7 separate regions of the Mus musculus genome follow, and all the other regions are reported to be linked to region 7. Evidence: microRNA targets listed by miRTarBase, many of them from high-throughput screens and not tested one by one. Region 7 holds a microRNA gene; each other region holds the end of a gene's coding sequence.

Region 1 (4,531 bases), not on the chromosome of region 7:
TGTCTCCTGAGTCAGGCAGGCTTCAAATGAGCTCAGTCTGGCTTAGCCAAGGAGAGAAGGGAGGTGTCCCCAAATAGAAAAGAAGGTGCCTTCAACAGTGGGGTTGCTCCGAGAACCGTTGTGGCTGTTAGAAGGATTAGATTTTTACAGATGGATCTCAATCCATCTCCCAGTTACTCCTGTGACCTGACTGACTGTTCATCAGGACAGGTCAAGTGTCTTTAGTGAAGCCCTTGGGAAAGGGGCATCACCTGAGGCTTAGAGCCTCACCGCAATCGATGGGCATGGATAACAAGAACTCTCCATTACAGCTGAGTATGCTGGCACACACGGGTAACCTCAGCTCTTGGGAGGCAATGGCTTCAAAGCCATCCGCAGCTACTTAGTGAGTTCAAGGATAGCCAGGGCTACGCTACGTGAGACTCAAGAAGCAAAAACAAAGTGGGGGGAGAGATGGCTGGGTAAAGACTCTTGCCACCATGCCTGGTAACCCAGGTTAAATTACTGGGATCTGCAAGGTGGAAGGAGAGAAATGACTCCCAAAAGTTGTCCTTTGACCACACTGTGCCCCTGATACTCACAAGATCATATGCATACACGCTAAGCAAGCAAACAAACAAATTAAAATACATAAACGAAGCTTTTAAAAAGAAAACTCACAAATAGTATCCTAAAAGAACTGGGTCAGGTTTGTTTATCAAAACACATACACATGTAGTGAGATTAAATTATAAAATAAATGTCATGTATGACATCACAGATACTGTGAAAAGTACCTAAAATATAAATAAAAATAGTATTTTCTTCATCCTGAAGCCCAAATCACCCAGAATTAAACCCCCACCATGTCTAATTTTATGTGTGTGCTCCCAGTTACCCTTGATTTATTTTTCTCACACTCAAGTCACCAACTTACTTAGTGCTGGATTAGATTCAGATGGCGACACCCAAGCCCAAGGCCTCAGAGGAGACAGGTGTTGAGAGGTTCAGGTGGCCCTGGCCTGCCCTGTCGGATGCTCAGACGTATCTCCACGTCCACAGACTGAGTAACCGGTGCTCTGTCTCCCACAGTGGTCGATCACTACACCAGTCAGATAGTCTTCAACGGGGTCCGGGTCATCGCCATCATCATTATCGGCCTGGGCTTCCTCCTCCTGCTCCTTCCAGAAGAGTGGGATGTCTGGTTGATCAAGTTGCTCACCCGCCTCAAAGTGAGGAAGAAGGAGGAGACAGCAGAGAGCAGCGGGGACTTGGGCACGGGTCCCCAGAGCAGGAGCAGAAGAGCCCGCCCATCCTTCGCTCGCTGAGAAAACTCCTCTAGAACTCTGGGATGCACCCATGGTAATGTTTTTGAGGTCTATTCCTGATGGAGGAACCTCAGTTGGGTGAGGTGTACATACATGTACAGTTTTGGTAACTGCAGTAAGTTCTACGGTATTTATTGGCATGTCCAATTTGCTTGCACTTTTCCACGTCAGACCTTCCACTAAGGGTACCGATTCAAAACAGATGAGAAAAGAACCTCTCAGCGCTTCTTAAATGAATGTAAAGCGAGGTAAAATGAGCCTTGTGTCGGTCTCTTCAGAGGACAGGCAAGCTGGACAAGCCAGGGCAAAGGCTCTGCCTCTTAGCAATTGAAAGTGACATTGTGCACTGTGATTATTTTTCAGCTATAGTAGGTCATATTTTGTTTTATACCAGAACTGTATACTTAATTTTAAGGAATCTCAATGAACCAAAAGATAATTGTCAGTTAATTTGGATGGGTAGATGGATAGATGGATAAATGGATGGATGGGTGGGTGGATGGATGGATGGATGGATGGATGGATCGATCGATGGATAGATAAACATATAGGTGGATAGACGGTTGATGGACAGATGGGTGGATGGGAAAGGAAAGGAAGAGAGGCAAAGCAGAAAAGGATAATGACATGAAGATAAACGGAGGACAGGCCTGTGCTGGGTCACATGATAGAAAACAGAACTCCGACCTAGCTGGTCTGGTCTCACAAGACCATGAGGAGAACTCAGTGCCTTCTACAGCATCTCTGTCCTATGTGAAGCGAGGTGACATTATATGTCACTGGCGCCGTCTTATAATTTAGATGTAGAAATCTTTAAAAAAAAAAAACAAACACAAACTATATGTGTATATGTGTGTTTAAACGTGACAAAGCCAGTGGCCAGTGTATTTGGAGGGTGGTTGGCGGTGTGTGACATGCACAGCAGGTGCACTGTGTGGGAGGGACGGCTGGTGGCTTTCACTTCCAGACCAAGACTGAAACATTATTTACTGAGTCTGTAAGCCTTTTAAAGAAACTTTTAAGCGCCGGGCTGTTTACTTACACAATTTAGGTCTGCCGGAGACTTCTATCTGTGATAGATCTGTACAGAGGGACTGGGCTTAGAGTTTACTATTTTTGAAGTTTACATTGTTACATATAAATGGGAACCTGATTTTGAAATGGTATCATATCCTAAAGGTGCATTCTGGAACCATGGAGTCTTTCGTTTCCTGGGGGGAAGGGGTACTCATGACCTGAACTTTTTAGCCAATTATTCTCAGTTTCCATAACTTGTTTGGCCAAACAGATTAATAAAACATTTGAAACAAACAAAAAAAAAAGCATTGAGTGTACTTTTGGTGCCTCCCGGTGACCTCCCACTAAGGGTCCTTGTGCAGCCTGCCTAGCTGCCAGAGGGAAGATGGTTGTTGCTATGGCAACAGACATAGAAACTAAGTCTGTGGGGCTGAAGGGATGGTGCAGCAGGAGATGAGTCAGTGGTAAAACACCTGCTGTACAAGCATCTGCACTCGTGTAAACAGCTGAGCATGGCTAAATGCACACGCGTGCACATACACACACACACACACCCCTGTAACAGTAAGGGGAAGAGGCAGGAGGGTCGTGAAGCTGTGTCTAGGCAGCTGTGGCCACAAGCTGTAAGACCCAAGTGTCTTGGGCAGAGCTTTGGAAGGCAGGGTTCCTAAAGATGGGGTCACATCACCCATGTCTCTGTTCCAGAAAGTCCAAAAGGCAACACAGGTGGCAAGGTTGTGTCCTGCCACCTCCACCACTGAATACTTCATAAAACTCAGCCCGGCAAACATTTCCCTCTATAAAGTTAGCCCTATACCTGCCCTATAGCAAATGTATCTTGTCCTATCAGCTCACTGATTTAAAACAACAACAACAACAAAAACCAAACAACAACAACTAGAGAGAGAGGTGGCTCAGCTGTGAGAGCACTGGCTGTTCGTTCAAAGAACTCAAGTTTGGTTCCCAGCATCCACAGGACAGCCCACGACTGTCTGTAACTCCAGTTCCAGGGGATCTGATGCCCTTTTCTGGCTTCCACAGTTACCAAGCACTTGAGGTACACATATATGCATACAGACAAGATAGCCACAAACACATTTTTTTAAAAAAGATAACAAAAGATTGGGAGCTCTTTCCTCCTGACCCTCTCAGACCTCCCTTCTAGCCCAGGGATCTCCAGTGGCCACCCCAGGCCACCATCAGAGAAGCTTCTTTGTGCAGTAGAGGGGAACTGACATAGACCTACATCTGGCCGATGCAGAGGAGAGACGCTGGAGCACTCTGTCCTAAATCAAAGCCTTCCCCTCATGACTCAAGGATCTGTAAGGGAGACGAAAAGATTCTAAGAGCCAGGAATGATGGATGTCTCCAAAGAAACTGGACTGACAGACATGTGAACCCAGAGACCTGCAGCGTGTACAAGGCCTGCCCAAGTTAAAGTCAGACCGGGTCCTAGTGTTGAGAGGGGAACATAGACAAAGGCTCTCAACCCCACTAAGATGCTATCTGATACCCTTGAGCCTCAGGGCAGGCACCATGCTCACCAGTAACTGGCCAACACAAAGACCGTGGTAATTTTGTAAACTTTTTGTCTCATTTTGCTTTTGTTTAGAAACCTTTTTTTGTCTAGTTGATCAGTCTTCATTTTGTGTGTGTGTGTTTTCCTGGGGTGTTTTATTTTGTGTTCTTCTGGGGGTGGAGGGGTTGATTGCTTTTTTTTAAAGAGTCAGAGGACATGAAGTTGGGTGAGGAGAGGATCTGGAAGCAGTTGGGGAGGGGGAAAGCATAACCAAAATATATTGTATGAAAAAATTTTCAATTACAAAAAAAAAAAAAAAAAAGAGTTGGAAGCAAACACCCCACAAGGTGTCTGCACACCTATACTCAGAGCATCATTATTCATGATAACCAAAGGGTAGAAGGGAACGGGTGGGTGGCTCACAGGCAGAAGTTTGAATGAGTGGATTTAGGTATGTATGCATAAACAAAATCCAGTGTGCTCATACTGTGGCGGAGAACTATTCAGCCTTAGAACTCCATAAGGAAGCGCTCACGCCTGCTGCAATACCTCTGTAGCGGGAGGCATTTGAGTGGTATGAAGCAAACCCGACACAAACAGACAGGTGCCATGTGACTCTACTTTTGAGATCCTCGGGATGGCCAGATTCAACCAGAACGGAAGCAGGTGTGTGGCTCACCTATAATCC
Region 2 (4,531 bases), not on the chromosome of region 7:
CCTCACTGGAACTGCCCATAGGCGGCCCCACCCCCTTACATTATTTCAGATCAGTCTCCCGTGTAGTCTGCAGTACTGCTGAGCCTTTGAGGTCACAGGTCACACACCATAAGGTGCTTCTTATGAGACCTTATGAGAGCAAACAGCAGTGGCAGCCCGAGGCCAGAGATCATCTATGCTGTGTGTACCAAGTACCTCAGGGACACAGTTCACAGAGACCATGATATAAAGAGTGCTCGGGAATATATAGAACTGCGCAGTGAGGCAGATACTATGGAGACTAGTCACTCCTTCCCAGCCCACCACTGACACTGTTACTTCCTCCCTTGTCCAATAGTAAGCGTCACCCTGGACCCACAGTCGGCCAGTGGATACCTACATCTTTCAGAGGACTGGAAGTGTGTGACCTATACTGGCCAATACCAGAGTGACTGTCTGCTCCCCCAGCAGTTTGACTGTGAGCCAGGAGTGTTGGGCAGCAAGGGCTTCACATGGGGAAAGGTATACTGGGAAGTAGAGTTGGAGAGAGAAGGCTGGTCAGAGGATGAAGAAGAGGGGGAGGAGGAAGAAGAAGGGGAAGAAGAGGAAGAAGACGAGGAGGTTGGCTATGGGGACGGATACGAAGACTGGGAAACAGATGAAGAAGACGAATCACTGGGGGAAGAGGAAGAGGAGGAAGAGGAAGAAGAAGAAGAAGTTCAGGAAAGCTGCATGGTGGGAGTGGCCAAAGACTCTGTGAAGAGGAAAGGGGACCTCTCCCTGCGACCAGAAGATGGTGTGTGGGCCCTTCGGCTCTCCCCCTCAGGTATCTGGGCCAACACGAGCCCAGAGGCCCAGCTGTTCCCGGTGCTGCGGCCCCGGAGAGTGGGCATCGCCCTGGATTATGAAGGTGGCACTGTGACATTCACCAATGCAGAGTCCCAGGAACTCATCTATACCTTCACGACCACCTTCACCCGGCGCCTGGTTCCCTTCCTGTGGCTCAAGTGGCCAGGAGCACGCCTTCTGCTGAGACCCTGAACTCCAGAACCCGCCTGGGTCACCCTACAGAAACTTTACTTCTCTGAGAGTCCAGGACTCTGAGATGAAGAAAGATTACCTGGATCCCACACCCATGGAAACTTCCCTTCTCTGGGATCCCAAAACTATAATGGAGGAAGGTTCCTGGCCAGAGCACTAGGAGGAGGAGAGAGAGGGACATCACATCCATTGCCACCCATCTCCCCACTGCCACGGCCAAAGTCTCTCAACACTGTCACCCTATCCATATATCTTACTCAGCTTCTCATTTCCTCTGAGGTTTCCTGCTCTGAAGACCAAATGACTCCCTCTTTCCTGAACACACCCATTTGTCTTGTCCCTGTGTTCTTTGTTGAGCAGGGCCTTGGCAGCAGCATTTTCTGGTTCAGTTGTTAGCCAGTGCCCACAGGTAGACTTTCCATCACATCTGAAGCTGTTTTTGCTGTCCTCGAAGTTGAGGTACCCCGTGCCCAAAACCACTCTGTTGCCTACCTTTCCTGGTGTCTTAAATCACTTTTCCTTACCCCACAAGAGTTAAATATGCAAAGATGCAAGAATGGATGTAGTCATGACCCACAGAAGTTTCCAAGGCCGTGTAAGTTTGTGTCCTGGAGTGCTGGTAGAATCATCTCCTAGCGTGAGTACCAAAGTTTCTAGCCTCAAACCCAGACCTGAGTAGGTAGGACTCCCCAGGGACATCTGTGTTTCAGAAAGCATCTAGGTACTATGACTCAGATAGTGACTGTGATCAATAAATTACCTCTGCAGAGCAGTCCTTGTGAAGGAAGTTTTTAAAACAACCCGAACATCTTGCTCTTGACCAGGAGGTCAAGACCTCGTTGCTGACACTATGGAGTGTCCAGATTCACTTTCCTAGGAGATGGACTGGGGAAGGGGAGAGAGGGCCATGAGGAATCTAGAGAGCCTCTGTCCTAGGTCTTACTATGGAGAAAGGGCCTGCAGTATCGCCCTGCTGACCCAGCTGGTGCCCATAGTTGAACATGAGTCCCTGCTTAGCCAAAATGATGCCCCCCTTTTTATCCTTAAACATTCCAGATTTCTTCTGCCCGTGCAAGTGTTAGCTCCTCTTGGCTCTTGAACAGACTGTTCCCAGACACTGGATCTTGGTGGCCTCGGAGTCACCACAGCGTCTCGAGACTGAACACTTCGTATGCATCACATGCTGCCTGAGTCACTAGTACCTACACAGTGGCTCCCTCACCACTCTTTGTTCTAGAGTTAATCATCTTCATTTCCTGTGTCTTTATTACTAAATAAACTACACATTTTTCTCAGTGGTCAGAAATTTCAAGACAGTCATCTGGTGCTGTCTCTTATTTTTATCTTGATGCCTACTGGAGTGAACTTGAACCTGAGCCATTGATTGGTCTCTCTGTAGACAGCTTTTAAATCCCCTTTTGGCATTAAACTGGGGGTTCTGGATCTTTTCCCTCTGAGGCCTGTAGCCCCGCTAGCCTAACTCTCACGTAGCTGTAGATGACCTTAAGCTTCCTGTCTCAACCTTCTAAGGTCTGGGATTTCAGGTAGGTGCCACTATGCCTGTTTTTTTGTTTTTATGGTTTTGGGGTTTTGGTTTTGTTATGTTTTGTTTTTCAAGACAGGGTTTCTCTGTGTAGCCCTGGGTGTCCTGGAACTCACTCTGTAGACAAGGCTGGCCTCGAACTCAGAGATCTGCCTGCCTCTGCCTGGTTTATACAGTGCTGGAGACTGAACCCAGGGTTTCTCACATCCTAGGCAAGCACTCCCCCGGGTGGCATCCCAAGCCCTGGTCCTATTTCTGGACCCCGTGTCTCCTCTCCTAACTTAACTGTGGTTTTGTCACACATTTAATAACTTCTGAGGTGAGTTTGGAAGTTGAATTTTTAAAGCCTTCAGTATCTGGAAATGTTTATCTCTCATACACTTAAGGGATTCTTCAAAATTGTGTTTCCTTCAGAATGTCAGAATTGTTCTACTGCCTTAAGGTCCTGATTTTCAGAATTCCCTTGGGGCTCTCTGCCTCATGATAGTTCTCAGTGGCCTGTTTCTGTTTTACAGATGGGTTTGGGAGCCTTACCTGTATCCCTACTCCTTGCACTAGCACATATGAAGCACATACATACATACATACATACATACATACAATTAAAGGACTGGACAAGATCTCACTATGTAAACATGGCTGGCCTCAGACTCACTGGGTGGGATTTAAAGGCTTATACTGTCACACCTAAGAGGGGTAAAAACTTTAAGATACCTGGGGCAACCTAGAAAAAGGTTTGTGTAGGCTCATGGTTCTGAAGGTGCAGTCCATCGTCATCGGTCTCTATGCTTTTAGCTTCTGTCATGGTAACCTATCCTGGCAGGTATGCTTGACAGAGCACAGTCACACATACCATCAGCCAGGAGACAGAATGAACCAGGCTCCCACAGTCCCCTTCCAGAGCATATGCTAGAGACCCAAAGACTCCACCTTCTAGTCATTTCCACCCTTCGGACCAGTCCTTTAACACCTGATCATTCAGAGGTCTTAAACAGTGAAACAATCTTGCCCATCCTCCTTATAAGTTGCCACAATAAACAGATTAGACACAAAACACAAAGGCCCTTAGGTTACATATTTTATTAAAACATCCTCTCAGAACGTAGATAAATGAGCTGAAGGGGCTTTAGGGTCCACCCAGAGTTGTTGATGAAGCCCTGTAGCATCTCCAGCTTCGTGTCCAAAAGTCATAAATTAGTACAAGTCACAGGTTCCTGGTTACCCTACAGTGGTCATTTTGAAGCTTTTACAGCTTTTTGTTTGCTTCCCTTCCAAATCCCATTGACTCATAGCTTTGCTGGTGTCTAGGACAATGCCTTCCTGTCTGCTGGCTCTCCATTCAGAGAGATCACCGTGTCCAGGAACAGGAGTGAAAGGACTTGCTACACAAGATTCCCATTTGAATGCTAGGGACAGAGCTGGGTTCCAAGGGTGCTGGTGTGTCTGCCGCATTTCCCTGGCTCCACCTTAGTCTTTCAAAGGCAGGCAGAGGAACTTACTTTCCAGGTGGGATAGGGTTAGAAAAAGATGGTGACTGAAGCCTTGGTGTGGGACATTTGCAAGGTCTCTCCCACACCTGGTCACATCTACACTGCGCAGGACAGCTGTGTCTCCTTTTGCATGGCAGGTGGGCGCTGGCCAGTTGGAGCAAAAGTATTATGGCCCAGACAATGTCCTTGGTGCTCAGGTCCTGCCATCCCCTCACCCTGGACACTTAGGGGACCATTCTCATGATGCAGCCGCCACTCAAGTGGCAATCACAGAGAGGACTGGACTTGGCTTTGTGGTCTGTGGGTCCAGAGTGACACCTCTTCCCCGCTTCAGGATGGAGCGGCATCCATCCAGGCTGCCTGCTTCCTAGGCTTCTGTTTCTGAAGGACAGGAGTGACAGCTGTGTCTGAGGATTTGTTTCTTAAAGTGAAGTGGCCAGAACAGCAGCAGCACAGTACCTAGGAGCCTGTTAAGAAA
Region 3 (4,531 bases), not on the chromosome of region 7:
CTGTACCCAAGAGGCAGGCAGGGATGCCCACAGTGTGCCATGTACTTTAGCAACAATTGTTCATTCACGGGTGACAAGGAGAGGGGACTGCCTGGAAAGAATACTGTGTCCTGTAGGGTTGCACTCTTCAGCAAATAGGTCAGAAAGACACTATGAGCTTGGCTGAGAGGATGTGTTATCTGCAAAGCAAGTAACAGACAAGGCTGGCCTTTCTTAGAACCTGCATCCTAGAATCCCACTGTGCTAACCAGCATGTGGTCATGAATGGACTAGTCAGATTTAATTCCCGGGCTTCTGAGCATCGTTCTCATGAACTCACTATTAAATGATCTGCTATGCATACACTTGACAGTTTATTTACTAGGGCAGGGCCTGGGGTGGGGCTGGGGGTGGGGTCAAGAGAGCTTCTTTACAGCCGACTGCGTATGTCACTAATTCCTAAAGATCTCCTTGGAGCAATGGATACACTCAATAGGACCAGGTGGGGGATGGGGAAAAGACAAAATAAAATTGGTCTCTATTCACCTGTAGTCCTCAGGGGAAATTAACTCAAATATATACTTGAAGTACCACCCGTTCAAATCAACCCCCACCATCATTATCAAACACACTTAATTCATCCACAGAAAAATTGGTTGCTTAAAATTCTATATTTCCCTCTGCTCCACTTTCCAGTTTACAAGGGCAGGTAAAATAAGAGGATTGATTTATTCTTGTTCCTTAAAAACTGAACTTTGATTTTACTCTATCAGTCCAAATACATCCAAGAAGAGCAACCCTCTCTCTAGTCAACCTTCTGGATGTCAAAGAAGAAGATCCTAGGTGCAACACCATTCATTTTGAAGTAGTAAGTCACAGGAGCAGCCTATCCTGTCATTAACAAAATGACAGAGGGCGGGGAGGGACTAGGGGAGCTCTCCCTCCAGATGGGGGAATGTGTTTGGTAGAAGAAAGCTTATTCCTGTGTTAAACTCAAAAGTGTGAAACAGCCAACATCTGCTATGTGGGCACTTCAAGAAATGTCTTTGCCAAATATGAGACAGGCTCACTTTCCACTGTGGTTTCAGGAACTTTCAGGAAAAAAAAAAAAAAAGAAACAAAAAACTATCAATAACAACTAAAATAAGACAGGGCAGTTCCTCTAAGTTGGCCTCTAGGAGGCTTTTGCTGTGCTTGCTTTTTCTTCCTGGTTTCTTAGCTTGGAAACCAGAAAGGAGTTCAGCTTGCACTCCAGGTGGGAAAGTACGGGGAGGGGTGGAGGGAGGGAAACCTGTTTAAGTTGAAGTTTGTCACAGTAGGCAGAACAGTTGCTTTGCAGCCCAGGCCCATCTCAGGGTGCAGTGCTTCACTGCTACACTGTAAAGGGTTAAAAATCCTCCCACCCACCCCTGAATATATATATATTTATATATGTATATTAAAAAAAATCCCCTGTCCATCTCTCAGTACACAAAAGGACCTCATCACACTGCAAAAATAGCAGTACCCACTTTGGTCAATTAAAACAAACAAACAAATAAACAAACAAACAAAAAAAGCATACATTATTTCTTTTTTAAATCTGTGTACTTACCTATAATAACCAATACAGCTAAAAGCACTACCTACATAGGCAAAACTTGGTATTGCATAATTCGTATAAATTTGAAACCCCTCCCCCCCAAATATTAATTGGAAGATGAAAAACATGAAAGGTTAATAGAAAAAACACCAAAAATACTGAAAATATTGCTGGTCGATTACAATTTTTAAGCGGCAACTATACACAGCCATGATATGCTTTATAAATGTGAGATAAAGGTGTAACTGTCTAAAAAATCCATGATGTCACACATTTTTCTTCGTCTGGAGTACAAAATATTTTGTCATAAAAATGGTAAAGATTTAAAACGATAATAAATGCAGCAAAACAAGTGTAGTGATGTCACTTTTGTGGTTTTTTTTTGTCTTTTGTTTTTTTTTTTTAGATTTCAAGGCAAGGCACGTAATGTGGACATTATATCTTCGTGCAAATTAGGATTACTGGAAAGAGTACTTTTAATTAAAATTTTAAGAGACACAGAGGCAGCATGTGTCTGCCCATGCACACTATAGATCTGTCAATACGAGAAATGTGTTGAACAAGGCTAATGTCCGAAAGCACCATGCATGTTCCCAGCACCCTGATGGCACTTCTCTGAAGAGCGAGCGGGTTTTCCTAGCCTACCTGGCATTCCCAGCCTGTACACGGGGAGCTTTACCCTTGTGACATGGATTTCCCTGCCTCTTTGTCTCTACGATGCAGATTGTATAGAACCGTTTGTACACCCTATGGGTTCTTGATGCAACCAGTAATTTTAAATAAATAATCTGACCTCTGAGGAGGCTGCAGCTAAGCCAACCTAAGTGCTGTGTTTTCAATATTTTTTTTATTTTTTATTTTTTTTCTGTTCAAGCACATGATTTGTCTTGATTTAATGCCTTATTTTAAATGCCCTCAAAAACTGAGGGGAAAATAAATTCGCTCAAAATTATTTTAAATTCTTTTTAATCCCCTCAATTTAGAGTCCAAGGGCTGAAGGACTTATAATCATGATTCCCCTTTAGATATAAATTTATAAATTGCACTTGCCTCTGTTAAGTGTTTCTTTTGTGGGGAAAACATTATATTACTTTTTACTGTTGCATGCAGAGGTAACCCTTTACCCACATAGAGGCATTTCTTCCATAGAGCCTTTGAGTTCAAACTGTTTTTTTTTTCCCTATTTTTCTTTTTTCTCTTTTTTTTTTTTTTTCCTTTTTAAGATTTCAAACTGGGTTACACACTGGAAAAGGCTGGGTTAAGGGCCAAAATTTAATAAATCTGTACGGATAACTAAAGGCTACAGAGATTCTTTTATATATATATATATATATATATATAATTTTAACTTTTAGAAATCAGAGTGCTTATAAAATGGCTGGCTCATGGCTCTGTCCCCAGCACCTCTGACGCCGCCTCCTAGCCTTCGTTGTTGAGATAACCAGGAATAGTGACTCCATGCGTAAACAACAAGAATACTAACCAAGAAAACTAGCTTATCATGCAAATATTAAGGCATCTAGAAAGTCAGTTAAAATATATTGTCATAGAGACAGAACATCTATTTCCCAGCGGACTTCATGTAACAAAGGCTACGGTGCAGGGGCTGCAGTCTAGCATCAGTGAGATGTCATTGACCCTTTCCTGTCACTATAGTCTCAACCTTAAGGGAATTAGTGACTGTAAGTGCTGCAATGCTGGTCTACCGTCTTCTTTCTTCAGTTTCTCTCCTTTCTCCCTGTTGTCCAGTCTTCCTCTTTTCCTTTGTTGGGTGTTTTTCCCCTAATTTTCTTATACTATGGTTGTGGTTCTTTCCCCTCAGTTGCTTGTCTCCGCTTGAAGGAAAGGCTCTCCAATTATGTTCAAACCATAATTTTGGACATTTGCCGGTAAGATGGGTGTCCTATTTGACACTTGAAAAGGAACCAAGCTAGCCCAGGTACCAGGACTGTTGAGAGGAGACGGGAAGAAAAAAAGAAAGAAAGAAAAAATAAGACAATGTTAAAATCTCCAGCCATATCATAAATATAAATTCAAAATGCATTAAATTACAACTATTATATTTTTAACTTTTTAAACCAAAATTTTAATAAAATTTAATAATTAATAGCATGCATTGACTTTGCTATATTATATATATTATGCTTATATACATATATATGTACATACATGTGATAACTTCTAGATTATACACATCATACAGGTGTAATCTATATGATCTCTTGCTTCCATGAAAAGACCTAACTACTATGCAGAAAAACACAAAATGAACTATATTCACTATATATAATTGCTGAACTCTAGTTAATTAAGGAGACTCTTTTTTAAATATCTGGCCCATTTCAATGCACTGTATGCAATATGATTTTCATTGTTCAAACAAAAAAGACGAAAAGCATAAATTTGTAGCCATACTAGACTACTGTAGTTTGCTAGATACATTAGTTGTGTTTAATCTTTAATTCATAAGACATTCTGGGTGAGGTGGGTTTATCGACCTGTTGGGTTACATACATTTGAAAATGTAATGAACTACATATTCTTTTCTCTCACGTGAGAAAATAATAGAGTTTCAGGCATGTGCAATATATAGTGAAATACCTAATGATCACACATAACTGAAGAGTTTTAGACAACCAAGTGGATGTCTATCCTCGACCACACAGAGCCCAGCTGGTTGCATTCTGTACAAAAGCCCACTGTGGAGGGTGCAGCTCGGGGGCTGCTGGGTTCTCTGGCGGTTTCCTGCTCTCCTCTATAATTTCCTTAGATAGAACCAAAGATTTCCTTTCAATTCATTTTTTTTCCTCAATTGGATGGCAACAGGGGCCTGGGCATTCCCAGACTTACCACCAGGAATGATGGCACATTTGGGATGCAGTCAGGATGACAAGAAAGAGAAGGGGGGTGGCTTGAGACAGCAGCTCTGTCTCTTACCAGTCAGCTGTGTGCCAGCCTATACTGGCCTTG
Region 4 (4,245 bases), not on the chromosome of region 7:
ACCACATCCCTCCCGATAGGTTCCCTACAACGTTCCTCTTCAGCTGTCCCTCTGCTGCCTGCGCCCTAGGAATGACACCCATCCTCGGCCGTGTGCAGGCCTCCAGGCTCAGAGTGCAGCTCAGGCTTGAAGGCCTTCCACATGCTGCCTCCTCTTTCTGAACCCAATCCCTTAGAAAACATACACAGATGTGTGCACACGCAAGCTCTATTTCTTCATCTCAACTCTCCATTGCCGCTCCAAGGTGCCTTCCACAAGGCTGCTCGTCATTACACTACAGTGCTGGAGGATATGCCTCTGTCACATCATGCCATGAGACGGTCAATCATTTACAACACGGAAATGTAGACACTACAGGACAGAGGCCGTCATCTCTTGCAGCTCCACATGCAAACACTGCATCACCCTACTTAGCATGTAGTCATGACTACATTTAACCAACACTTACTGTGTGGCAGAAATGAATTTCTACCCTGCAAGCTGTTCTTTCAAACAGACATCATCCCAGTACTTAAAGCTGAGGTTTTAAAGGGTGTGTAGAAGTTAGAAATATGCACAAAGTCATACAATTTATAGTCAGGGACAAGCAAGGTCTTCCCAGTGTTGCTAGCACATCGAAGTACCAAAGATACACTTAGCAGATGCCACAGCTACAGCAGGGTGTCTGCAAATCCAGAGGGCACAGAGGAGGGCCAGCCTTGTGGACACGTACCCATGACATCACCTGGAGCTCAGAGCTCTAGTGTACTGTCTTTGGTGAACTTTCTTATCACTGCCTTGAAGTTCTTAGTAAGAACAAGAGGCCTCATAGTGTCCCAGGCCTTACAACTTAGGTCACTGGCCTTCCCTAGAAATCTTACAAGAGGTATACATAAAGATTCTCAGTCCCTGTTTCCACATCACCTAACTCTGGAAATCTATGGGAGAGCTTGTGAATCCTTATGAGAGAGCACCTCCATTTGACTTAATATAGGTTCCTGGGCCTCCCTTTAACTAATTGAAAAGCCAAAATGAGTTTGGCTGCAGTTACACATGCTGCCACATGGGGGCAGTATGGCCTCAGCGTTTAACAGTGGCCAGGCTTAAACTTCAGAGGTCTAGGTCTCCAGTGAGTGATGTGGGAACACATTCAATTAAAACCCTACCCAACCAGCCCCCTCTTTCAATGAACAGGGGACTAGCAATGGGCAGAGCAGGTTGTGGCAACATCAAGGGACTTTCACAAAATGTTTAGGAAGAAGCTCTCTGAGGCCCGTAGTAGCACAAGGATGACCCTGAAACATCCCTCTGATAGTGTTTCCCAGCAGCCTCCACAGGCTATGACCTTGTTCGTTGAAGATTAAACCATCCCCGCTAGGCCCAGGGGAAAATGCTCCCAAATGGGGATGCTTGATCCAGGGATGAGCCGCAACCTTGATACTGAGCAATAGGGCCTTTCTGGAAACCTTTGCCTGCCTGTAAAATGAAACTGGTAACTGTTTCTGTATCATGGGACTTAGTTGAATTCATGTATCTGTTCCATCCACCCTGAAGTAGCTCTTTTCCTGACAGGGGGTGTTCTCTAAGAATCTAATGTCCTGGCACCCGCCCAAAGTCCCAGGTGTCCCTCACCACCTCCGGATGTGCTAGATGATGAGTCTGAAGGGACTGAGCCAGCCCGCGAGAGAGGCCCCTCCACAGCCAGAGGGCTCAGGTGCAGACTGAAGTTGAGCTCAGCCTTGCACTGGGGAGAAAAATGGTTTGCCTTCCCCATGGCCCACAGCCAAAGGGTGAGGACAGTCCCTGGGCTTCACTGGGGCTTCCGGTACAGACAAAACATCGTGTTAGAGTCCTGCTACACATTGCTTCAAAAAGGGCTCCCCCACCCCCATACCCTGACTCAGTTCCCAGTCTCTTGGTCCAAGTTCTGTTCTTTTTTGAGACAGAGCTAAGGTGTCACCCTGGCTGTCCTAGAACTTGCTCTGGAAACCAGGCTGACCTTGAACTCAGACATCTGCCTGAAATGTGCACAAGCATGATCCAGTCTCAGCCCATGCTCTTTATCCACAGAGACCCCTTTGAAGCTGGCTGATTTGTTGATATGGGGCCAGTCACGCAAGCCACTCCAGGAGCAGCTTCTGAAAGCTCAGGGGTGACCTTTCTGAACAGCCCAGAAGCAAGGTCACCAGCCTTTCCTTGGGGGTTCAAGTGTAATTCCTTGTCCTGGACTGGGGTGGTGGTTTGAATGAAATGGTTTCATGGACCCATAGGAAGTGGCACTGTTAGGAGGAGTGGCCTTGTTGGAGTGGGTGTGACTTTGTTGGAGGAAGGGTGTCACTAGGGGTTCACTTTGAGGTCTCAGATGCTCAAGCCAGACCTGATGTCTCACTCTCTTCCTGCTGACTCTAAATCCAGATGTAGAACACAGGAACTCTCTAGCACCAAGTCTGCCTGCCTATTGGCATGCCACCATGCTTCCCACCGTAACAGACTAAACCTCTGAACTGTAAGTCGATCCCAATGAAATGTTTCCATTTAATTAAATCCCAATCAAAAGAGTTGCTGTGCTCATGTTTGAAGCAGAGACTGAAGGAAAGGCCATCCAGTGACTGTCCCATCTGGGAATCCATCCCGTATACAGTTAGTAAACCCAGACACTATTGTGGATGCCAACATGTGCTTGCTGACAGGAGCCTGATATAGCTGTCTCCTGAGAGGCTCTGCCAGTGCCTGACAGAGGTGAGTACACACAGCCATCCATTGGACTGAGCATAGGGTCTCCAGTGGAGGAGCTAGAGAAAGGACCCAAGTTGGAGCTGAAGGGGTTTGCAGCCCCACAGGAGGAACAACAATATGAACCAACCAGTACTCCCAGAGCTCCCAGGGACTAAACCACCAACCAAAGAGTACACAGGGAGGGACCCATGGTTCCAGCCGCATATGTAGCAGAGGATGGCCTTGTAGGAGGACATCAATGGGAGGAGAGGCCCTTGGTCTTGTGAAGGGTCCCACTGTAGGGGAATGCCAGAACAGGGAATCCGGAGTGGGTGGCTTAGTGAGCAGTGGGAGGGGGGATGGAATAGGGGAGTTCCAGAGGGGAAATGAGGAAAGGAAATAAAATTAAGTGTAAATAAAGAAAATACCTAATAAAAAGAAAATATGTCAGAAAAAAATGAGTTGCTTTGGTCAAGGTGTCTCTTCACAGCAATGGAAACCCCTAAGATACCTGAAAACTCCTTATTTCAGGGGGTAGGAGAGTCCCAATTTCAATGTTCCCCATTTCCCATCTCCCACTGCAATATCATCTGAAGCTTTCTACCGATGTTGCTTTGTATGGGTGTTTATATGCTGTGTAGCCCAGGCTAGACTAGACTCTCAGTCTTACCTGCTTCAGCCTCCCAAAAGCTGGGATTGTGGACTGTGCGTCCAGTGTCCAGTGTCCACACTCTTGTCCTCACTACCCATCTTCCTCAGTCAGTCCAGGGGGGTGGAAACCTTCCTTAGTGCAGCAGAGCCCTGGGTTCCACCGCAGGCCGGCATCTGGGTTCAGAAGCCTTTTTCTTGTCCCCATGTAAGATGGAAACAGTGACTTCCCCGCCATTCCAGGTATTAGGGACAAGGTGGGCATGAGCTCAGCAGACCATCCCCCCCCAAGACTCTTTCCCGGGACACCCCAAAGACTCAAGTAAGACACACACTTTTTATTTTTCCTTCCTTTAATCTTAAGTAAAAGAGACACAGGGATTCAAAAATAAAAATTTCTTTCCCCATTCCCAGGCCTGTACCCAGTGCCCTCCATACCACCCTTCCCCTCTCTAACAGAAGCAAGGGAGGTTCAGCTTAACAGCCGCTGGGGGGGGTCAGAGGGGGGCTTCTGAGCTCAGTGTTGGTCTCTTTCCAAATATAAATACATGTGTCAAAACTGGGAACTCCTCCACACCCGTCACCCTGACGCCCTCCATTTCTGCTGGTGTTCGGGATGGGGAAGCCAGGCACCGACTGGCTGGGGTTTACTGCACACTTTGGGCATGGGCCCCACCAGTCTCCTGCTGCTCGTTGTAGAAGAGATGGCACTCGGGGTCTCCCCGGATGGTGGGAGCTCCCTGGATGGGCTTCCCGGTATTGGGGTTCACACACCAGCACTCCCCGCGCTGTCCGTTCAGAGACATCTTGCACTGAAGGGTAAAAAGAGGAAAACATGGATGCATGCTGGATGCTGGATGCATGCAGTTCCCAGGTGCAGGGTTCTGCAGAACAGGGGCCTGT
Region 5 (3,000 bases), not on the chromosome of region 7:
CTCCCACCCTCAGCTGCCCACAGAAAGCTGAGAAGGAACTGAAGTCCTCACTTGCTTCAGGTGTGAAACAACATGCAGTTCACTGTTTGACTAAGTGTTCAGCTCTTTGAAATGTGAGGAGAGTTTTTACTGTGTTGTGGCTGACAACCTTTTCTTCATGATTGATATACTGTATTTTGGCATTGAACATGGTGAACATGAAGGCAATATATGTCAGGGTAGTATTGTGACAAAGCCACTGTGCTGCAGCCGTTCTAATTAATGTGATGTGTGCTTTTATTCCAGCCAGAGTAACAGCTGTGGCTTGACTGGTAACAATAGCATAGGCTAGAAGTGAAGCAAGCACTCTGCCATTGCCTTGGAAGTCTTCTGTCTCCTGGTATGAGAGGAATGATGCTGGAGAGGCTCAACAGCAGGAGGCATCCCATCACAGCTTCCAGCACCTGCTTTGTGTAGTGTAACATTGAATTCATGTAAGATTAACACTGTGGTGTAAACTCTGAGGCACATTCATGCAATAAAACTACTAGTTTTGGCAGTCTCTAGATGGTCCATCCTTTCGTCTCAGCTCCAAACTTTGTCTCTGAAACTCCTTCCATGGATGTTTTGTTCCCAATTCTAAGAAGGGGCATAGTGTTCACATTTTGTTCTTCGTTCTTCTTGAGTTTCATATGTTTTGCAAATTGTATCTTGTATCTTGGGTAGTCTAAGTTTCTGGGCTAATATCCTCTTATCAGTGAGTACATATCATGTGAGTTCTTTGGCCTGGCAAACACAGAAGTGGATGCTCACAGTTAGGTATTGGATGGAACACAGGGCCCCCAATGGAGGAGCTAGAGAAAGTACCCAAGGAGCTAAAGGGGTCTGCAACCCTATAGGTGGAACAACAATATGAACTAACCAGTACCCCCGGAGCTCATGTCTCTAGCTGCATATCTATCAGAAGATGGCCTAGTCGGCCATCATTGAGAAGAGAGGTCCCTTGGTCTTACAAACTTTATATGCCTCAGTACAGGGGGATGCCAGGGCCAAGAAGTGGGACTGGGTGGGTAGGGGAGTCGCGGGGGAGGGCCTGGGGAACTTTTGGGATAGCATTTGTAATGTAAATGAAGAAAATACCTAATTTAAAAATAAATAAATAAACTACCAGTTTTTGCCCAAGCCCTAAATTGTTTAAATGATTCTCATAACAATCTTTAATTTTCACTTTAGTAAAATGAATATATACCATGACGCCTTAAAATTAAAGCTAGATATTAAATTAGTATTCTGCTTCTTTCCCATTTTGCTTCAGTAAGTTTTTATGTGTATAAACACGGGTATAAGGCATGGTGTTCTAACAGAAAGAATGCATGGTTCTCTCATTATGGGAGTCAGGTTTCCTTTTTTTGTTGATGCCATTAACCACCCCAGTTGGGTATGGGGCTCCCTTGAATGAGGGTCCTCAAAGCTAGGTGGGTCAGGATTCGGCAGTGAAAACCAGAAACAAACACAGAGGCAGTTTGAATCTGAGTGTATTTTGCAGCTCTCAAGCAGGGGGTTTTATACATTAAAAAAATATATATATTAAAACTCTTAGAAGATATGTTCAATGAAGCAATCACAAATACCATTGTTATTTGGAACAGTAAAGCACAAAAATCAAGCAAGCATTACAACTCTGAAAAGATGTATTCAGTGAATCATAAACAGAACAAGTAACATCATTATTAATAGAAATCATCCTAATGTTACCACTCTGAAAGGACATATTCAGTGGAGCGGTCATCAAAGGCTAGTGGCATATTTCCAAGAGTAGGTTAATAAATCTTTATGAACAATTATTTTTAACATCTAATGCCTGGGTTTTTTTATAAATCTTCAATGCATAAATTTAAACTATTTTTATTCTTTTTATTTAAGGCTTTCTTATCCATATACCAAAGCCTACTTCCAATGACACACATGTAGCCATATGAAATTTTATTGTTTGGAAAGTTTTTATCTATCATAATACTATGATATAATTTTGTAAATGATTTATGAAGTAAAGCATTGGTTTTCCCAGAGATAAAGTCATGTTAGTGACCCCCATCTCAAGGGATGGTGCCTTACCCATTATTCTCACCTAAGATTGTAGCCCAGGCTACCAGGAACATGTGATAAATAAGAAAAAGAGTAAGAGATAACAAAAGAGATAAATTGCCATGACAACTACAGATCAATATTTTGTGCCAGGCAAGAGTTCCACAACCAGTTCCAGAAGGCCTCCTTCGTTTGAAGTATTCACCTCAGTCTGTAAATCTCGTCACACAGATTCTGCTGGAGTTGGTGTGGATGGTTGGACTTGTTCCAGGATGTTAGTGCCTACTTTTATCAATGATTTGAAAGCCTATATTGAATTTTTTCGGATTCCCAATTGCTAATTCCCATGAATTCACAAAGTATAACTGGCAACTGGAAAGAAGATTAGTGCAGAGGTGTCTCTTACTGCCCCTCTGCCCTGTTCCTCAGCCATGAAAATCGTTTTCTATGGACATACCACAGTTCTGTACCAAATACTGTGACCACATAGGATCCATTTACAGGATGATGTAGTCACTGGAGTGTAGTCTATGTTCCAGTGACCCTTTCACAACCCAACAGAGCCCAGTCATGCAAAATAGTACACAGCCATCTCTTGCTGCATATTGCTTCAGTACAAACCTTAAAAGTCATCATATTCCCAGAAGTGTTCAAACCTCCTGAGCTCATTCTTTTGCTTAGATGATTAACTGTGACTACCTGTAAAATTAAACAATAGTGAGTCACATCAGTATATTTGCTACAGATCCTCTCTGGGATAGAATGTTATCAAGGATTGTCCTCCTTTACACAGAATACACGTTTCTGGCAAAGAATACAGAACTGAATTCTTTGCACACCTGTTCTTGCTAGCTCCCCAAAGCTGTTTACAGGTCAGTCAACACTGCTTTCCTCGTGGTGCCAGTTGCATGCCAGAAAAGTATTGAACAAATACAT
Region 6 (4,531 bases), not on the chromosome of region 7:
GAGACTTCTGTAAGGGTTATTTAACCTGAAGGCTGAGATGAGGGCAGGCACTGCAGTTAAGTACAGGTGCATGCAAGAAAATGAAGTCAGGTGACTAAGTCATTGCCAATCAAACTATAAACACACACACAGTATTTAAAAAAAAAACTGAATCTTAAGGAGTTTTAGCCTGGAAATATAAGAATTAGAACAGAGATGGTATTTTAAGTCAAGTGGATGAAGGATGAAACCACCTAAAATATAGAGAATTCTATATAACTGTCTTTGAAGAATTCATGTTTAGAAATGGGATGGAAAAAAGAAAAAGCTAACAAGCAGAAACCAGTATATAGAAGAAAGGTATGGTGTTCCACAAGCAAAGAAAGGGTTTCCAAAGTGAGTGAACACTGGACACATGCTATGGAGATTACAATTCCATCTGTTAAGCCAGAGTTTTGTAGTGCCCACGATCAGACCTGTGTGGAGCTAGAGTAGAAATGAGGATTGGATAGGTGTGGCTATGGAAACAGCCCAGACAACTGAACTTTGATGAGGAAAAAAGGGCAGTAGCTGGGGGATGAGATCCAGGGAGGGATGGTTTTCTCAAATGTAAATACTAAAGTATTTATGATACACAATAAACTAATGATAGTATACAGTCAACACTGATGGCACAGGCTTGTAGTGGAGGGCAGCCTGGTCCTGAGTGTGGGGAGAACGATCAGAGGTGAGGATTCCGTAATACAGAACATGTATAGAGGAATGGGCCTGAGAGAGGGCTCTAGAACCTGGTTGGGGAACACATACTAAAGACCATTTTATATTTTAAAATGTTTAAATCAGCTACATGTGATAATCAGTGCTCAGAGGTAGACACAAGCCAGCCAAGACTACTCAAAATAAAACTATGATGAAACTCAATATTCAGTAGTTAACTTTTAAATCCTCATTTTGTTGAAACATACCTCCATTTTTAAAGTCTCATTTACACTATTTTGTTCTTCATTTAGGGGCCACTCCATTTTGTGTTGCTCCCAATGCATTATTTCCATTTGAGCTGTATAATGAAGAATATTTAGAGCAAAGAGATCTCTACCTGACTCAGTGCCAACAGCAGCTCCAACAGTTTATTGCCACATGTGGACCTGGGACAACTGTCTTTTCTAGTGATGAATAAGCAATTTAAGAATTACCTTTCGGGCCTAGCAAACACAGAAGTGGATGTTCACAGTCAGCTATAGGATGGAACACAGGGCCCCCAATGGAGGAGCTAGAGAAAGTACCCAAGGAGCTGAAGGGGTCTGCAACCCTATAGGTGGAACAACAATATGAACTAACCAGTACCCCCAGGAGCTCGTGTCTCTGGCTGCATATGTAGCAGAAGATGGCCTAGTTGGCCATCAGTGGAAAGAGAGGCCCATTGGTCTTGTAAACTTTATATGCCTCAGTACAGGGGAACGCCAGGGCCAAGAAGTGGGAGGGGGGAAGGGGGAGAGGGCATGGGGGACTTTTGGGATAGCTTTGGAAATGTAAATGAAGAAAGTACCTAATAAAAAAAAAGGAAAAATTACCTTTCATGCCCCATAAGCCTTGGTAAATGTATGATTTCAGAGTAATGGTTCAGACTATGTATCATCTCAAGGTTATTTGTTAGAATGTCATTTAGAGTATGAAATGTGGCCCCTTCATAATTACAAATTTGCAACTAACCCAACATCTAAACCAAGAACAGAAATTATGTTACCAAGGAGCTTGACATCAAAAACTCCAGTATATATATCATGGACACACACACAGTAGAGAACATTGTAGTGTGAAAAAGGTTTTGTTCATTCCACCCATCAGGTAGCAACACTTTACCTACCAACATACCCAGCTTGAGCTCATTAATTACCAGTGATGAGTTCAAGTCAGTGCAACTTAATGACCCAAAGTGCCTATGTAAGGCTTTTCTTTATTTAACATGTGCATTATGGGCATATAGCTTTATAAAGCTAAATGTGGAGAGTTAAGGAAAGCTGTGAAAATCTTATATATGCCTTCTGCTGGATACAACCAAAGTGACACTAAAGACAACATTCCTGGGGTCAAGTCGTCTTCCTGCCAGGAGGTGGTAGGTACTACAGGGTCCCACAGCACCTTGTATTTTGGTACTTGATCTGAACAGCAAGTTAATGATATAGTACATACAAACAAGACTTGCCTTGTGCCTTTTCATATGATGTGGTTAAGTCTAGGTCTCTAGGGTAAAAACAAAACAATTCTTATCTAAACAGCCAACACACCTGGAAAGCCTAATGTTCGAAATTTCTATCCTGGGAATCAAATCCAGAGCTTTGTGCCTTGTTAAGCCAGTTAAACTTCCCCAGCCCTTACAAAGGCCCAAGTCATCAGAATGTTGAATTTTTAAGCTACTTACTAAACTTAGGGATTCTATTGGTTAAAGATTTAGCCAAGTCTTCACTCGAGGAAATCCAGTTTGAGAGTTTCAAGTGATCCTAGACAGATTGCCAATCACTTTCTTTCCTGCTGTGCATTACTGGCTACTTACTAGCCAGCCATCAGGATTGCATTGACAAAAAGTCCGCAGCTCATGAAAGACGAGTTTATTTTACTACGAGAATGACATTTTAAAGAAATTACTGCCCACAGCAATTAAGAATAACTGTTTATTTATATATAACTTATTAATATTAAATTAGATATTAATTTTCACCATTTGCTTCTGTTTATGGCTTCTTGACTTTGTTCATGGCCTTCATTTTACCTTCCAATATGTAAGCTGCACCTTCCCAAAAGGAAAAAAAAAAAGTCAGAAACCCCAAATCATTTTTCTTCCATCTCAAACTAGGCCCAGGTGTTCACCCTAATGATCTTCAAAACGAACTGGCCCCAGCCCCTCAGTGTTATCAAACAGTATTGAATCCAGATACATGACTGATTAAGCAAACTTACCCAAAACAATAAAGGGTTTTTAGACATCACAGCTCCCAAAGTTGGACATCCACTACAGCCACCTACATGCTGGGGAGAACAAACAGTAACCCATTTTAACAATGGCGTCACATGTTAGTCATTTGCATCATCTATATACTGCTGGCATCTCAGTCTTTTAAGATTCTCTCTTCAAAGAAACACTCAGCTGGGTAAACGGCAAAAACTTAAGTCATCATTGTGCCAGCTATTAAGGCCCTGTTAATCAAACCTCAAAGAAAAAAAAAAACCACACACACAATTTGTACCTTGTTATTGGCAAATGTAGTCCTGGCAGCTTGTTTCAATCACTCTCCATGACAAGTGTTTAGAAAATATTTGTTCAAGCACCTTCAAATGAGCAGGTTTTGTTGCACCTAAAAATTAAAATATTTGTGAACTCTCATTTTACTTCCATGTTTTAATACCTTGCATGAGTGTGCACTGGCTACTTTTATGTCACCTTGACACAAGCTAATCACTGGTGTAGGAAGCTACAATTGTAAAAATGCATCCTTAAGATAGGGCTGTGGACAAGCACGCCTGTAAGGCATTTTCATAATCAGTGACTGGGGTAAGGGGGCAGCCACCTCCCCTGGGCTGGAGGCCCTGTGTTCTCTAAGAACCAAAGCGTAAGCTAATAGCATCCTCCATGGCTTCGGCATCCGCTAACTCCAGGTTCCTGTGGTGCTTCAGTTCCTGTCCCATCATCCGTCCATCACAGACAGAAAAACATTTTACTCACGCCCTTCACTGCCAGTACTAACTTAAAGGACTGAGTACCAAGCCTTGGCTTCTCAGTCTTGGTGCTTGCACGGAAAAGCTTGAGGCATATATGCAATTGTGCAGACCATCACTGGGACATTAGAACAGGAAACGGCATGGCCAGAGTCACAAATCAGAGAATGAATGATTGAACCGATTACTGGTGATGACTTATCACCTGCAAACCGATGAGAAATCCTTAATCATTTTCATATTTGAAACGCTGAGTTTACAGAAATCCAGAGTACCCAATTTGGCTTACAGATACCAACAGTAAAGTATAACATGCAGGCCTGAAATGTAGTGTTCTTTTGTATCCACACGCTTCAGAACTTACCACCACCTTCTTTTGCCAGCATCCCCACCCTGCGTGGCTTTCAAATAGTTTGAAAATTTTGCTCCAACTTTAGATCGTACTTACAGGGTTGATCCATGAATACAAGCTTTTTAGAGTGATGCCAATACTTCAGATCAAACTATTAATCTTTAAAAAAAAAAAAAGCCAAAAAAAAAAAAAAGCCTAAAATTGGCGGTCTTAACATCTTAGAAGCAGTACTTTTCCGCCTCTGTAAAATTTCCTATGGATTACTCACTTAGGAAGCCTGAAACAGACCGCATGGTGGCTTTTCTTGGGGATACAAAGGGGCTCCCGCCAGGGTGCAGGCCCAGATGAAAGCTGCCGCCAGAAGCGGCCGCTTGTGCCCGCACTTCGAAGCGTCCAGAGGAGCAGGCCTTATAACTAATCTCGGTTAAGATTTGGAGACCATTGGGAACGCGCCCCGCCGCTCACAGCGGGCCAAGGGCCACACCGAAC
Region 7 (4,531 bases):
TAAGGTTCTTGTTCAGTTTCACCCCTTTGGGGGATATGTTGAAGCCCAAGATTTCAGCGGTCTGGCGATGGAACTGAGTTTTGTCCAGTGAACAGTAGATGTTGTGATACCGAAAGCGGACCAGGACTTGGCGGACATGCTGGGAGTGTTCCTCCTGGCTCATTGAGTAGACCAGGACCTCTCTGCCATGGCAAATCACAAACAACCCTAGGATGTCTTTTAGGATGAAGTGAACAATGTTGTTCCCTTCGTCAGAGTATGAGTTCATTGTGAAGGGCCGGTAGCATCTCATCTGGTGAAGGCCGAAACCGAACGATGCTCTCCAAGTGTCTTCCGTGTGTGTGACCGTGTGCCTCATCTCACTTTCCTTAATCCCAAGCAGCTCCAGTTTTGTGAACCATGCCGCTCCATGTAGCTGGTCGAATAGCTCTGGTACCATCTGCGTGTAGTCTTGTCTGTCAGTCAGCATGTCATACAGTATCCAGTATTCCTCTTGCTCCCTGGCTTTCTCTTGCTGCCTGGCTTTCTCTTGCATCCTGGCGCTCACAGGTTCCAAAGTCTCTCGGGCCCCAGACTCGTAAAAGACGCCGCTTTGATCACTGTCTCCAGCCTGCTGAAGCTCAGAGGGCTCTGATTCAGAAAGATCATCGGATCCGTCTGAGCTTGGCTGGTCGGAAGTCTCATCATCTGCCTCCCTCGGGTTAAACACGTCGGCCAGGTCTGAGTATGTGTGTGGCAATCCGGGCAGTAGGCTTATGCTGTATGTCTCTAGTGCGATGCATGGTGGAGGTGGGGTGAAGCAATTCCGCAGACAGTAGGGAGAGTGGAAGGTACACCGGCCTCTCATCCAGTCGACTTCAGGGGCATGGGTTCGGAGCCACTTCATGCCTAAGACGATGGAGAAGTTGGGCGAAGGTAAGATGTCAAATTCGATGTACTCATAATGCTTCTGGTGGACACATACCAGGGGCTCGGTGCACAGCCAGACGGGTTCATTGCCAATTGGGATGCCATCCACACCTTGGATTATCTGTGGATAAGGCTTCTCATAGAGTTCCACATAGTGTTCCTGGGCAAACCTCTCATCCATGTAGTTCCCTTCTGCTCCTGAGTCCACCAGGGCCCGCACTGCGACACTGTGGTAGGGGTCCACTCTCACCAAGAGCAGTAAGAAGAGGTGATCGCGATCAATGTCTGGGTGGAACTCATTGGGCAGCCAGCTGCTTACCCTCCACTTCTCTGGGGCGGGAGCATCCATCCAGGCTACGCTTCTTGGGCGCGACTCAGGTGGCAGCCTGAGTAATGCTCTTCTCTCTGCCAGCTTTTCTTCAAGTTGCAGGACAAGTACAATCAGGTTGTCTAGGGAATTCGGCTGAGGGATCCGGAACAGATAGTGCCTGATCTCTTCGTTGAGCCCCTGGCACAGGTGGGCCTGCAGGACTTCATCTGGCCAGCCTAAGGTGGGTATCAGACCCCGGAACTCATTGATGTAATCGGCCGCACAGCGGTTCCCCTGCCTGATGTTGAACATGGCGTCTTCCGCCACACGCAGGGTCTGCCGATACTCAAACTTTTCTGACATGGCCTCCAGGAAGGCTGAGAAGTTGTTTATCACTGGGCTGTTCTGCTCTACGAGGTCGTTGGCCCATTCCAAGGCTAGGTCAGTCAGGTGGCGGATGACGAATTTCACCCGCAGCTCATCATTGTATAGCATACTTGGGTAGTTCTGCATTGTCATCTGGCAGAGCACGACAAACTCATGGTAGTCTCTGCGATCTCCAGAGAAGGGCCTGAGGGAGGGCAGGCGACCTTCGTTGATAGCCTGCATCATGAGCCTTTCTGCCACTCTCTGTTGTTCTTTTAGGTCTTGCATCCGGAGGAACAGCGAGATGACGTTCCCCATGGTGGCCACGACTTCTTCTGGAGAGTTCTTGGGCTGACCTTCCTCTTCACCACCTTCCTCTTCCTCCTCTTCCTCGTCATCTCCCAGGTCAGTATCATCTTGGTCTGACTGGGTCTCGGATGAGTTGATTGTTTCATCCATGCTATAATCGGATGCCTCACTGAGTGGTTCCGACCCTTCCTGGTTTGAAATATCACTTGACTGGTTTGAACTGTCGCTTGACTCCTGGTTCGAATTATCGCTTAACTCCTGGTTTGAATTATCACTTAACTCCGGGTTTGAATCATAGCTTGACTCCTTTTGTGAACCATCGCTGGACTCCTGGTTTGAACCACCGCTTGACTCCAGGTTGGAAACATCGCTCGACTCTGGGTTTGAACCAAAGCTCGACTCATGGTTTGAACCATTACTTAATTCGTGGTTTGAACCATCACTCGACTCCTGGTTCGAACCATCATCACTTGATTCCTCCATGTCTTGGGGTAGATCGTTAGATGATGCCTCACAGGGGTCGCTGGATGGCTCCTCCACTTCCCGGAGTAGATCAGTGGGTAGCTCTTGCATTTCCTGGTAGGGGCCACTGGATGGCTCCTCCACTTCCCGGAGTAGATCAGTGGGTAGCTCTTGCATTTCCTGGTAGGGGCCACTGGATGGCTCCTCCACTTCCCGGAGTAGATCAGTGGGTAGCTCTTGCATTTCCTGGTAGGGGCCACTGGATGGCTCCTCCACTTCCCGGAGTAGATCAGTGGGTAGCTCTTGCATTTCCTGGTAGGGGCCACTGGATGGCTCCTCCACTTCCCGGAGTAGATCAGTGGGTAGCTCTTGCATTTCCTGGTGGGGGCCACTGGATGGCTCCTCCACTTCTTGGAGTAGATCAGTGGGCAGCTCTTGCATTTCCTGGTGGGGGCCACTGGATGGCTCCTCCACTTCTTGGAGTAGATTAGTGGGCAGCTCTTGCATTTCCTTGAGGGGGCCACTGGGTGGCTCCTTTTCTTCCTGGGCTGGGCCACTATCTGAGCCCGCCTGGGCCTCAACCTGGGCCTCAACCTGGGCTTCAGCCTGAGCCTCCGCCTGGGCCTCCACCTGGGTCTCCGCCTGGGCCTCCGCCTGGGCCCCTGCCTGGGCCCCCGCCTGGGCTCCACTGCTGCCTGGTGTCTCTTCAACGGTGTTGGATGAGCCCTCGGAGGACTCCATTTGTTTTGATGATGGATTCTTAAGCTCCATCATCGTCTCAAATGAGTCTTCAGAGGGTTCTATCATGTCGTCGGTTGGAAAGGAGTGTGCTCTGAAGACTGGTAAGATTGTGATGTGTGTGGTCAGAGACCGCAACTGTGGAGACCAAAACCTAGGGACAGAGGGATAAAAGACAGGAGAAAATGTAGCAATTTAGGTTCTCAAGATGGCAGGGTCAGATTCTATCTCAAGGACAAAGCAGATGCCAAGTTACTAGAATCAGAGAGAAAATGGAGAAATTCCTCCTGCATTCAGTTCAGCCTCCTTTTCTGGTTACTTGGGGCACCTCCAGGGGAAAGACCGTCACCCCCTGACCTGCCTTCCAGGCGGAGTCTGACTACCCCACCTGCCTACTTCCTCTAGTGGAATGAGAAATTCACAGCCCATAAATTTTGTGGAGCAACTGGCCTGGAGCGTCCTCTGTGGCGAGCTAGCACCTGGCAGGGCACACTTCTGGCCCGCTTTGCCCTGGCCAGGTTCCCTTCCCATTTGTAGTCACCCAAAAGTCATAAAGGTCACATCTCAATGCCACTCAAAGCGGCTGCTGGCAGGCTTGGTGGTCTAGAGCCAGCCCAGTGAGCTTGGTTGGAGGCGGGAATCTGCAGGGAGATGCCTGCTATTTCACAAACTGGGGAAAGAGGAGAAATTGGGCACTTGGCCACTATCCTGCCAGTTGGGTCAACAGCCAAAAATAGCTCTTATTTCCTCCTCTAGGCTCCAAGCCGAAATAAGTGAGAGAGAGCCATGGCTTTTGGTTTTAATTTTGCTCCCCATAAATGTTTATAAAATGCCTACTATGTGCTGAAAACATGCACTTTCATGGCTTCATCCTAGGTCACACTTTGTGCATATGCAGGATAAGAGGGGGGTGGGGGAGGGATAGTATCATTTCTCTTGTTCGGTTTGATCTCTGTCCAAAGCCACGTTTTCTCCAGCTCTGAGCTGAGTCGGAGCTTTCTAAACACCCTTTCCCGGGCTTTCAAAAAAACTGTTCTCCCAGGATTGCCTGGTCTGCAGGGCTCCTGCAGCTTTAAACATCTGGCCTCAATTCTGCTCATGCAAACATTTCTGCACGTCTCACAAATGCTATCTTTCCAAGTTTCTCCTCTGCTTCGGCAGGAGCAGGGTTTTCGTTCTCAAAAGTGCCCCCCCCCCCTTTTCTGTCACTGTTGATTTCGTCTGGTACAGGGGTATATCTAACAGAGGTATGAAGTTGGGTGAAAGGGGGGGCATGGGACCTTTGAAATCTGATTGTTCCGTAATTTTTGAAAATCTAGCCATGGAGGGTTTAGTGCACGGAAATTGAATTTAAAGGGATGTATTGGTTTGCAAAACAAATTAAGCTAGTTATTCAATAGCTCAGCCATATAGCTATTGTCTTTATGAATTCTGCAC

The links. Region 7 holds the annotated microRNA mmu-miR-136-5p (ACUCCAUUUGUUUUGAUGAUGG, at 3,091-3,112, shown strand). A microRNA usually pairs through its seed, bases 2 to 8, with sites in the 3' UTR of a target mRNA and lowers its output. Matches are read on the target gene's strand: a 7mer-m8 pairs with bases 2 to 8, a 7mer-A1 pairs with bases 2 to 7 and ends in A, and an 8mer does both.
Region 1: miRTarBase lists Slc35f3 as a target of mmu-miR-136-5p. The part of its 3' UTR that is shown has no 7-base or 8-base seed match.
Region 2: the mRNA of Trim26 is a reported target of mmu-miR-136-5p. Seed matches in the 3' UTR shown: 7mer-m8 at 1,150-1,156 and 7mer-A1 at 1,965-1,971.
Region 3: the mRNA of Nfib is a reported target of mmu-miR-136-5p. The part of its 3' UTR that is shown has no 7-base or 8-base seed match.
Region 4: the mRNA of Igfbp2 is a reported target of mmu-miR-136-5p. Seed matches in the 3' UTR shown: 7mer-m8 at 3,936-3,942.
Region 5: the mRNA of Ctla2a is a reported target of mmu-miR-136-5p. Seed matches in the 3' UTR shown: 7mer-m8 at 824-830.
Region 6: the mRNA of Mcmdc2 is a reported target of mmu-miR-136-5p. Seed matches in the 3' UTR shown: 7mer-m8 at 1,240-1,246.

Annotation. Positions count from the first base shown.
Region 1 is chr8:126,393,361-126,397,891 of GRCm38, forward strand. It overlaps Slc35f3 (solute carrier family 35, member F3), which reads left to right. Exons shown (of 8, transcript NM_001363500.1): 8 at 1,072-2,597. The coding sequence ends at 1,307. Among named protein-coding and RNA genes, the nearest start is that of Gm51604, 27 kb to the right of the region's middle.
Region 2 is chr17:36,857,063-36,861,593 of GRCm38, forward strand. It overlaps Trim26 (tripartite motif-containing 26), which reads left to right. Exons shown (of 10, transcript NM_001025599.3): 10 at 338-2,336. The coding sequence ends at 1,020. Trim15 (tripartite motif-containing 15) reads right to left here. Exons shown (of 7, transcript NM_001024134.2): 7 at 3,629-4,520. The coding sequence ends at 4,513. Among named protein-coding and RNA genes, the nearest start is that of Trim15, 7.9 kb to the right of the region's middle.
Region 3 is chr4:82,293,303-82,297,833 of GRCm38, forward strand. It overlaps Nfib (nuclear factor I/B), which reads right to left. Exons shown (of 12, transcript NM_001113209.2): 12 at 1-3,509. The coding sequence ends at 3,380. Among named protein-coding and RNA genes, the nearest start is that of Nfib, 210 kb to the right of the region's middle.
Region 4 is chr1:72,851,907-72,856,151 of GRCm38, reverse strand. Igfbp2 (insulin-like growth factor binding protein 2) reads right to left here. Exons shown (of 4, transcript NM_008342.3): 4 at 3,678-4,154. The coding sequence ends at 3,990. Among named protein-coding and RNA genes, the nearest start is that of Igfbp5, 21 kb to the left of the region's middle.
Region 5 is chr13:60,932,314-60,935,313 of GRCm38, reverse strand. Ctla2a (cytotoxic T lymphocyte-associated protein 2 alpha) reads left to right here. Exons shown (of 5, transcript NM_007796.2): 5 at 286-1,159. The coding sequence ends at 294. Among named protein-coding and RNA genes, the nearest start is that of Ctla2a, 2.8 kb to the left of the region's middle.
Region 6 is chr1:9,939,389-9,943,919 of GRCm38, forward strand. Mcmdc2 (minichromosome maintenance domain containing 2) reads left to right here. Exons shown (of 15, transcript NM_177722.3): 15 at 990-1,566. The coding sequence ends at 1,156. Snhg6 (small nucleolar RNA host gene 6) reads right to left here. Exons shown (of 4, transcript NR_024067.2): 2 at 3,222-3,329; 3 at 2,935-3,003; 4 at 2,637-2,767. Snord87 (small nucleolar RNA, C/D box 87) reads right to left here and starts at 3,155; the gene lies at 3,082-3,155.
Region 7 is chr12:109,592,241-109,596,771 of GRCm38, forward strand. It overlaps Mir136 (microRNA 136), which reads left to right and starts at 3,087; the gene lies at 3,087-3,148. It overlaps Rtl1 (retrotransposon Gaglike 1), which reads right to left. Exons shown (of 2, transcript NM_184109.2): 2 at 1-3,248. The coding sequence starts at 3,163. It overlaps Mir434 (microRNA 434), which reads left to right and starts at 2,266; the gene lies at 2,266-2,359. It overlaps Mir432 (microRNA 432), which reads left to right and starts at 2,716; the gene lies at 2,716-2,790. It also overlaps Mir3071, 6430411K18Rik and Mir127.